Rattus norvegicus: one gene and its partner. The protein of the gene in region 2 purifies or fractionates together with the protein of the main gene of each other region. This does not show direct contact. Links are inferred from orthologs where the notes say so. Each region holds a gene or a part of one and is shown on either strand. Other genes may lie near its edges. The genes, in order: Cdk14 and Ccny.

Region 1 (4,605 bases), on a different chromosome or scaffold from region 2:
CTTTCTACCTATAATACCATCATGTCGAGACCATCTAATCCCTAATAATGACAGCACGTTGCAAACATTTGTTGAGTTTTATAGCATTGCCACACAAGACACTGCATCATCATTTCACCAAGTGCCAAAAAAAAAAAAACAAAACAAAACAAAACAAAACCACAGAACACATTCCTTGCTTATGAATTATATGAACCCATAGAAAACTCTCACGGCATTGCCTCTCAGTCTTCAAAAATAAAAAAACCCTTCGGTCATCAAATGAGTTCACCGCCTCTGAGTGTGAAGGAAATCGGAGAAGATACGTTTTCCAGTAGTGCCCTTCCTAATAACTATCCTGGGTTTGGTGCACACACAACAAAAATCACTTAAAAATGTCAATATTTTCTTTCACAATATACCACAGTAAGACCTGCTCTTCTGAGTCCTCTTTCAATAAAGAGATGATCAGCTTTCTTTACTGAGCCGTTCTGTTTCGTAAAGAATGGATATAAAAGCCACATAATCATACCAGGCATTTCTGAGAATCAATAGACTCAAAGGGGAGCTTTCACATCACTAAATCTCAATAATCTGGGAAGCCCAATTAACTATAATATCTATCTGCCAACACTGCAGTTAACCGGAATATTACTGACGGGCCATCAAACCCTAAAATTATTTAAACATACAAGATTTTTATATTAATGCCCTTTGTTTCTCACTGAGACTCAACTGCAATGAATTATTTAAGAGAAAACTGGAGGGGCTCCAACGGAATCATCAGCATTAGTAAATATCTAGCTAATGTGCTGTAGAACAGGCCCTAATGGACTCCAGAACCCGCCTGGGTGGTGTTTTGAATCCAGCCCTGAAACATCCTTGTTAATAATGCACAGGCTCCCCACCTCACTCTCACACTCCTCTTGGCTTCAAACTTGACTTGAATGTAGGACTCGACACTCACGTGCCTAACTCAGAAAAGTGGGTCCGTTGTATATTCAATACATGTGATTAGAAAAGGCATGACGAATGTGCATTCTGCACATAACTTAACAGCGTTCTCAGGAAAAGCAAAATGTCAAACAAAATTGACAATAATGATAATAATAATAATGATAATGATGATCTTGACTAAACGTTTATCCATGTTTATTTGAAGACAGTTTGCATGTACGGATAATGAGCTATGAAACAGACTGCTGACACTCACTGGCACATCATGGTTTTATTTTAAGGAACTGGCTTATTTTTAATTAATTAACTTTTATTAACATAACAGGTGAACCAAAGGCCAGAAGGTATGCTTGGACACTCTGATGGGTTGGTTTGGGGCTTATAAGAATCCCTTGCTTTGCGCAGTTACCCGTATCAAAGAAAGTTAGCGACAAAAGTTTAGATAGCAGGTATGCCTTCAGGTTAACAGGCGCTCTCTGCCACCAACACTCAAGATTTAACAAACCCCTTCCACATGACACAGCTGTCATCTTGCTGTAGCCTGTAATGTGGATTCATTCTTTAAGTATCCTAAACATTCCTCGATCCTTTTTTCTTATTGCTGTTTGTTTATTCTCTGTTAAATTGGTTGGTTGCTTTTTAAAGAAGACAATAGCCTCTGGACTGCACTAACAGTGCAAGTTCATGAGACTTATTCTAAATGCCCCCACAACTTCACAGCTCGCATTTCACCATAGCAGCTAGAAGGTTCAGAGACCTACAAACTGAACACCCAAACCTCCATTTATAGGACCAGAAGTACGGAACAAAAGGTCCCAAGGTATCTGTCCCACTTCCTTTAGGTTGAGTACGTTAAAAAACATCAGGCGCCTGTCAACGTTTCGACAATTCCCAAAGCTACATTATTGGCTAAACACCTAATACCAACGCTCTTTAAACAAAACAAAAACAAAAACAAAAAAAAGTAACCTGGGTGGCCACAGAGCCCCGATGGCGGTGGGGACCTGGTGTCCCCTCTCCAGTTCACTGTAGGCGCCAAAGATACTATTGGCGGGGAGGAGGAACTCAAATTGGAGGGTTGAGACAGTCCACGAATGAAGCTCAGACCGTGGGGGAGAGGGGTAGCCCTCCAGCTTATCCCTGCCCTGCCGGGAGTCCCCACCGAGGTCCTCCTCCATCCCTGTCCGCACCTCACCCGGAGGTGGCAGCTGCCTGGCTGGTGCCCTGAGCACGGAGAGGGCGCGGGGACCGAGGGAGCGAGCCCGGGGATCGCCCGCAGGACACCGGGGTACAGCGGACCACACTCACCGATGCGGCTGAAACTCTCGGACAAAGTTCTCCTCAACTTCTTCATCTTGCCGATCTTCTCGGCCGGCTGCGGTTCAATGAGGTCGCACATCTGGGCGACGCGGGGCCCGGGCAACTTCGCGAAACTGGTCCAGCGCAGCGCAGCGCAGACAACGGCGGGCGAGGGCGCGCGGCGCGGGGAAGGCGGCGCCTCGTCCTGCTCCTCCGCCTCCTCGCGGGCCGCGGGCGACGCGCAGCGCTCGCCTGCCTGCGGGGCTCGGGCCTGGGCCGAGGCTGGGCGCGCGGGGGCGTCTTACGTGGTGCCGGGGGCGGCCGCGATCCCCGCCGCCCGGGGGCCCCCGCGCTGCGCCGCTGCCCGCCGCATTTTCCCTCCTTTGTAAGCCAGAGCCGCGCGGCCGCGACCGGAGACGGGGGCGGCGCGGCCGAGGAGGCGCAGGCGGCTGCAGGCGAGGCGCGCGGGACAAGTTCCCCAGCCCGAGGGGCGGCGCTGCACGGAGACCCGCGACTGCCCTGGCCAGAGGCCTGGCGCCCGGGACCCAGGCGCGACCCCGCGCCGCGTTCCGACTCCGACTCCGAGGCCTCCGCCGCCCTCCCGGACCCACCGCGCCCGGGCGGCGCCCCCTCCCGGCCGCCCGCGCTCCGCCGGCCGCGGCCGCGCTCCTCCCGCGCGCTCCGGGACCGCAGCCCACGGGCAGACGGACAGACAGACGGCCGGCCGCCCTGGGCTCCCGGCCGACCCTGTCCACCCGGTGCGGTGCGATCCTTGTTGGCCCCGACCCGGAAAGGTTGGGGAGTGTCGGGCGCGGTGCACGAGTGCCTCGGGGACGCATTCGGGTTTAGTAGAGACTTTTTGGGGTGGGGTGGGGTGGGTGGTTTTAATTTACAGGGAAAGTGGGTGCTCCGAAGGCCAGAAGAGGCCTGATTTTCATTGGGGTACAATGCAAAAGCTGAAAATGGCCCCCTGGAACTTCCAGAAGGCAGGGTGTTTTGCCTCAGCCCTGACTCTGGATGACAGGAATGTCTCAGAGATTCCTCAGAGGGATACTCAGGTCATCAGTAAATTTACTACCTTTTGTCACCTCCTTGCCCTACTTCAGTGAATGAACTTGAAAAGGGACTTAAGGGTGGCTTTTTTTTTTAAAGTCCCGGGACAAACAGTTCCGGCAGAAAACACAGTCTTTTTTTTCCCCTAATAAATGAGGTACTCCAAACGTCAGTCTCCCAGGGGAGGGTGAAGGAAGATGGGGGAAGGCCTGTTGTACTGATTCTGGGCCAGCAAAGTCCTTATGAATAGAAATGTTAGTGATCTTGAGTCATCTGGCTGTGTAAGCAATAGGAGCTTTTGTGGGCGTGACAATGCTGTTTGGTTTAAAGGAAGTTTTGGGGAGTTTGTGTTTTGTCAAAAGATTTTTATCTTAAAACAAAAACTAGCCCCCTGCCTTCCTTAAATTGTGAGGTAGAACACGGATTTGTTCCGCCCTGTGCTGAGCACATTACAGGGTTTTGGTAGATTGCCACTGATAAAAGGCAGCTAGCTAGTCAAGCCAAGCCCCTAACAGAGGAGAGAGCCAAGAATTCATGAGCAAAGTCAAGATAGTTTAAACGCAGGGATGTTGGATCCTGACAGCCAAATCTCAATAATTACAGAAGGCATCAAAGTGTGACCTGATACAGGAAAAAAAAGTTTTAACATTTATCACGTGGTCAGATCAATTAGAAAATTAGCAGTTACAACTGAACACACACAGAGAGAGAGAGACAGAGAGACAGAGAGACAGAGAGAGACAGAGACAGAGAGACAGAGACAGAGAGCCAAACACTGATAGGTTCTTCCAGCTAACAAAGACGAAAAAAAAAATCGTCAAAGATAAAAATTTAGAGTGCTATACTTATGTGGTCACACTGCTGTCCATTTGGAAAAGGCCAGTTTGAGTAAGGACACAGGCCCAGTGTGCTTGTCCTCACACACTGTGTGTATGTGTGCATGGACCTGCACGTGAATGCATATGGTATCTTTTCTACCTCCCCAATATCTCTAATTTTCTAATCTTTCAAAAAGCCAACTTACCATCTCTGCATACAAAGCTATTGTTCGTGACCATTTTTTTTAAACTAATGGAAACTTGAGTTGCTATATCGAGGGTTAATAGGGAAAACCATATTTAATATCAAACTATGGCAAAATATGCAAAAATATATACATTTCTGAAATACACAAAATTTCTGAAAACAAAAGGAGGAACGTAGGAGGCGGGGCACAACTCTGTCCTTACACTTTATACTAGAAAGTAGAGTCTGAGTATCTTGCCCCCCAAATGCCTTAATTTTATATCACAAAAATGTTAACTTAAAGCATAGTGG
Region 2 (4,548 bases):
CTCATTTTATCCTTTGGGAGAAAAGATAGTACATTCTATTTACATCTCACACTGGGAAGGTCAGTATAGCCTTGTTTTGATGCTGTCTAACCCACCCACTCCCACCCTCCTATTCCCCAGAGCTGGAATTTTCTAGAACTTCCCTTTACTGTTTTCTCTCTCATTTGGTCAGCACCACCACTCTTCAGCCATCATTTCCCATGGCATTCTGTCACGTAAGTCTACATATGACATTATTACAGCTAAGCATCGAGCCTCCGCACAGCTTGTCGAGCAACAATGTATGAATACCCCTAAGCGGTGGATGGATTGACTGCACAAGAGTACAAGACAGGTACAGATGGCTAATGTTTGGTATCATTTCCTCATTTCTCCGGTTAGGACAGAGAAGATCATGCACATCCTCCCCTTTACTGACTCCTTCACTAAGATTTTGAACTCCTGATGCTCCCGTCTTTACTGCCCTACTTTAAAGGCGTGACTTACACCTGTTTATGCCTGGTTGAGGATGGTAGAAGGGCCCCAGTACCCTTCACTATTTGGAAAGGATTTAAGTGGCTTTCCTCATCTTAAATCTTTTCAACGTTTATCTTGGTTCACGAGTCAACCCACGCACAAAATCTACGGCAGGTGAAACATAAAACAAGTGTAGTCCAAAAACTCAGAACACTACAGTTAATTCGTCATGACTTCAGCTCCTGTCCCCAGGCTGACTCCCAAGTCCTCCGAAGAGATTGACAGGAGATGAGCTCCTAACTCAACTGGGAACTCCTTCTAACATTAGCAACACACTGGCCGGCCGCCCTCAAGAGGCAGCAACAAGGCCCCCCTCCAGTGCGCGCCCTCTCGTGGCTCCTAGGGCCACTATCTACTTCCTGCCGTTGAGACTCAAGAGCGGAAGAGCGGAGAGCCGCATTGGCGTCTAGAAGGCGAAGACTTTTAGACAGGGTGCCGGCCACTGCGCACTTTCACGCCTGGAGAATCTGCTTCCAAAGCAGTGGGAAGGAAAAGGGCTGTGTGTAGACCGCGGGGTCCTAGCACAAAGGTGGAAGCGAAGCAAGCGGGCGTGAGGCGTGGCCGCGGGGAGGGGGCGGGGCCGACGTGTGCAGGCGTGGGGCGGGGCTCGCGAAACCCGGCCGGCAAGCTAAGATTCACCGTGCAGCGCCGCGGACGCTCCAGCTCCTGCGGTCCCGTCATTGTGTCCGCGCGCACTCGCGAGTCCCCGGCGTGAACCGGAACAGCTTGCGGAAATCGCGGCTGGGAGCCGGGCGCTGAGCAAGAACGCGGTGGGAGGCGGCCTGCGCGGCGCCGCCCGCCATGGCCGCGGCGGGGTGAGCTCTGCGCGGGGCCGCAGTCGCAGACTCAGGCTCCTCCGCTGCAACCCAGGGGCTGAGGCCGTAGCAGCCGTGGCCGCTGTCTGTCGGTCGCCGTAGCCGCCTGCTCGTTGCCGCTGTCCATGGCGCGGCCCCGCCGCCGCCGCCGCTGCTGACCCGGGCCCGGCGCGGTTTCCGCCCTCCACGGGGCGCGGGCGGCCTGCCTTTGCGCCCGAGCCTGCGCCCGCGCCCCGGGACTACCAGCCCGGTGGTCAGCGATGGGGAACACAACTTCGTGCTGCGTGTCGTCCAGCCCTAAGCTCCGGAGGAATGCGCACTCGCGGCTGGAGTCCTACCGCCCGGACACGGACCTCAGCCGCGAGGACACTGGCTGCAATCTGCAGCACATCAGCGACCGGGAAAACATCGACGGTGAGTGGCGCCCGCCTCCGCCTCCGCCTCTGCCTCGGCCTCTCCCTCTCCCTCCCCTTTCCCTCCCTGCAGGACTTGGAGCCTTGCGGTTCTGCTGCACTCACAGAATGGTGGAAATTTTGTTAGCCACGGCTGGGGAGGTCCAGTAGGTCCAGGGAGGGCGTGTGGCATGTGTGTGCTGGGGTGCGTCTACATGCGTGTGCACCCCGGGGATGGCATGGGAGGCCCCAGGCTGTGTGCTTTTGGGATGTTGCCAGAGTTATGTTTAGGGTGGCGGTGGTATTTGCTCTTTCCAAAAGGAATTGTGACAGTCTTTACCTGACTGGAGTTGGCCTGGGTTCCCCCAGACAACTCTACCCCTTTTCCAATTAAAAACTAAACTAGGCCCAAGGGAGTATGCTTGTGACTATATAGGCACAAATGCAAACATATGTACTATGCGAGTATATACAGTCCTGTGCACAAACACATAAATACTTTATGGGTATGTTTGCCTGGTTGAAGTAAAAGGTACACCTCAGAATGTTTAAAAAAGAAAATACCAGTCGACTGTAAGTTAAGTGATCTAGTTTTAGCATGGGCTAGAATTATAGTCCTACGAATTTCAGATTTGTCTGGGCAACTTGTGTATTTGAAAAAAAGTTAAAAGAGGCATCATTGCACCTAGTAACTGGTTTTGCAGTATCTTTCTGAGTATTGTTTTGTAATCAAACTCATTGTATACTGGGCATAAAATACAGTTTATATAATTTCCTACTTAAAAGATTAAATTGGAAATATCTTTAGGCCTTGTTTTTCGTTTTTGTTGTTTTTACGAAAATCCTCACACAAATAATCTAGTTAAATTCACTTATAATTTTTCTTATATGAATGAATTGATAACTGGTATTGACTCATTCTTGTTGCCTTTGGAGTGGAGTATTCCTTGCAATCGTGAAAGGCTACATTTGAATGCTAAGAAGAGTTTTCTTCTTGTTTCTTATATAAATAGTGTCTGCATGTTAGGGACAGCAGCTTTATTAAACAAGTATCATAAGGTTACTCACAGTTTATAGTAAGTTCTGGCACTACGTGATTTTTCTAGTGTTATTAAAATTTGTGTATTCGTGTGTGCAAGTGCACACTCGCACTCGAGAGTGTGTTACCTGTGTGTGGCAGTTGAGGTAAGAGGAAGGTGGTGTATGTCACGATCTGGAGTTACAGGTGGTTGTGCTGGGAACCTATCTCGGGTTCTGTGGAAGAACAAGGCGCACTCTTAATCACTTAGGCATTTCTTCAGCCCCTCTGGTGTCATTTTATGTGTCCATTAGCTCGTTTTTTTTTTTTTTTTTTTTTTTTAGGTGATTTTGAACTGCAGTTTCCCATTTACACATTTAAAAACATGTAGAAGAATATTGAAGTAAGAACTCCCAAACACATAGTAAAACTGTATTTTCAAGGGCAGAGTGAAGAAGTGAACACGTCCATTGTAGAATATTGCTAACAGCGTTGACAAGCAAAAAGCATTAAAGAATACTTTATTTTTATTATACAGGTTTACATTAGGCCATTTTCACACACAGTTTTGCATCTGTTTTCAGGCCACTCCACATAACAGCATTTTATGTCTCTCACTCACAAGCGAGAGAAAATGATTTGCCCTTCTGAGACTTGTTTAATATAATTATTTACAGTTGTACCCATTTTACTTCAGAGACATAATTGCATCTTTATGGCAGAAATGAATTTCATTGTATATAAAACACAGTTTTTTTTTTCCATTCCTCAATTAGTGGGCAGTGGTGCAGTAAGCGTGGATATGCCAGTATTTTTATGTTTTTTTAATTTGTTTTGTTTTGTGTTTTAAACTTTTGAACAGATACCTGTTAGAGGTATACTGAGTCATAAGGTAGGTCTGCTTTCCATTGATCCCCATTCTGACTATCACAGTCTAGACTAGTATCCATTCTCACTGTTAGTGTGTAAAGGGGTTCCTCTTATCTGCTTCCTCACCAGCATTTGTTATTTGTTTCCTTAGTAATTGCCATTCTTATTGAGGTGAGAAGGAAAAAAAAAACCTCATTGTAATTTGTGTTTCCTGCTAGTGATGTTAAATATATTATATTTTTTATTGTCATTGTTATTTTGTTTGTCTGTTTTCGTTTTGGGTTTTTTGTTTGTTTGTGCTTTTTTTGAGACAGGATCTCTGCATGTGGAACTCAATGTGTACGATAGGCTGGCCTCAAACTCGCTGAGCTCTACCTGCTTGTGCTCCAAATGCCGGGACTAAAGGTGTGCATTAACATGTTTGCGTTCATACACTTATTGCAAGTTTCTACCTCATCTTTTTCATCTTTTGGGAATTGTTTCTCTAATTCATTAGACCAGTCTTTGATTGGGTGGTTTAGTTTTTGATCACAGGTGATGAGGTTTCTGAGTTCTTGTGCATTTTAGATTTTAAACTCTGTAATTTGTATACCTGGCAAAGACTCCTCCCATTTTGTAAGTTGTCTCTTCGAGCAGTTATTTTCTTGAGTGTTCTTACGATAATTTTTATCTTCATGAGAATCAGTTGTTCTATTTCTTGAGAGACTGGTGTTCTGTTTAGAAGTATTTGCCTATACTGGAATCTTAAACATTTTTTTCTACTTTGTCCTTAGGAATTTTACCGTTTCAGGTCTTTAAATAAAATCTTTGATCTGTTTAGAGTTATCTTTTTGTATGTGGTGACACATGAGTCTAGTTTTCTTCTGTATGGCAGAAGAACATAGCCAGTTTGCCAGCAATATTTATTTGTTGAAGAGCCTGTTTGCTCAAATGTGTA

The links.
Region 1: the proteins of Ccny (region 2) and Cdk14 purify together in Homo sapiens (affinity purification with western blotting; 3 studies listed by BioGRID and IntAct, with this or other methods). This does not show direct contact. The link is inferred for Rattus norvegicus from reciprocal best matches to the Homo sapiens genes CCNY and CDK14.

What each region holds. Positions count from the first base shown.
Region 1 is NC_086022.1:29,619,450-29,624,054, reverse strand, and holds the start of Cdk14 (cyclin-dependent kinase 14), read right to left. Parts: upstream 2,839-4,605; 5' UTR 2,336-2,838; coding exon 2,245-2,335; intron 1-2,244. UniProt on the Homo sapiens protein: Serine/threonine-protein kinase involved in the control of the eukaryotic cell cycle, whose activity is controlled by an associated cyclin.
Region 2 is NC_086035.1:62,204,824-62,209,371, reverse strand, and holds the start of Ccny (cyclin-Y), read left to right. Parts: upstream 1-1,591; coding exon 1,592-1,745; intron 1,746-4,548. UniProt on the Homo sapiens protein: Positive regulatory subunit of the cyclin-dependent kinases CDK14/PFTK1 and CDK16.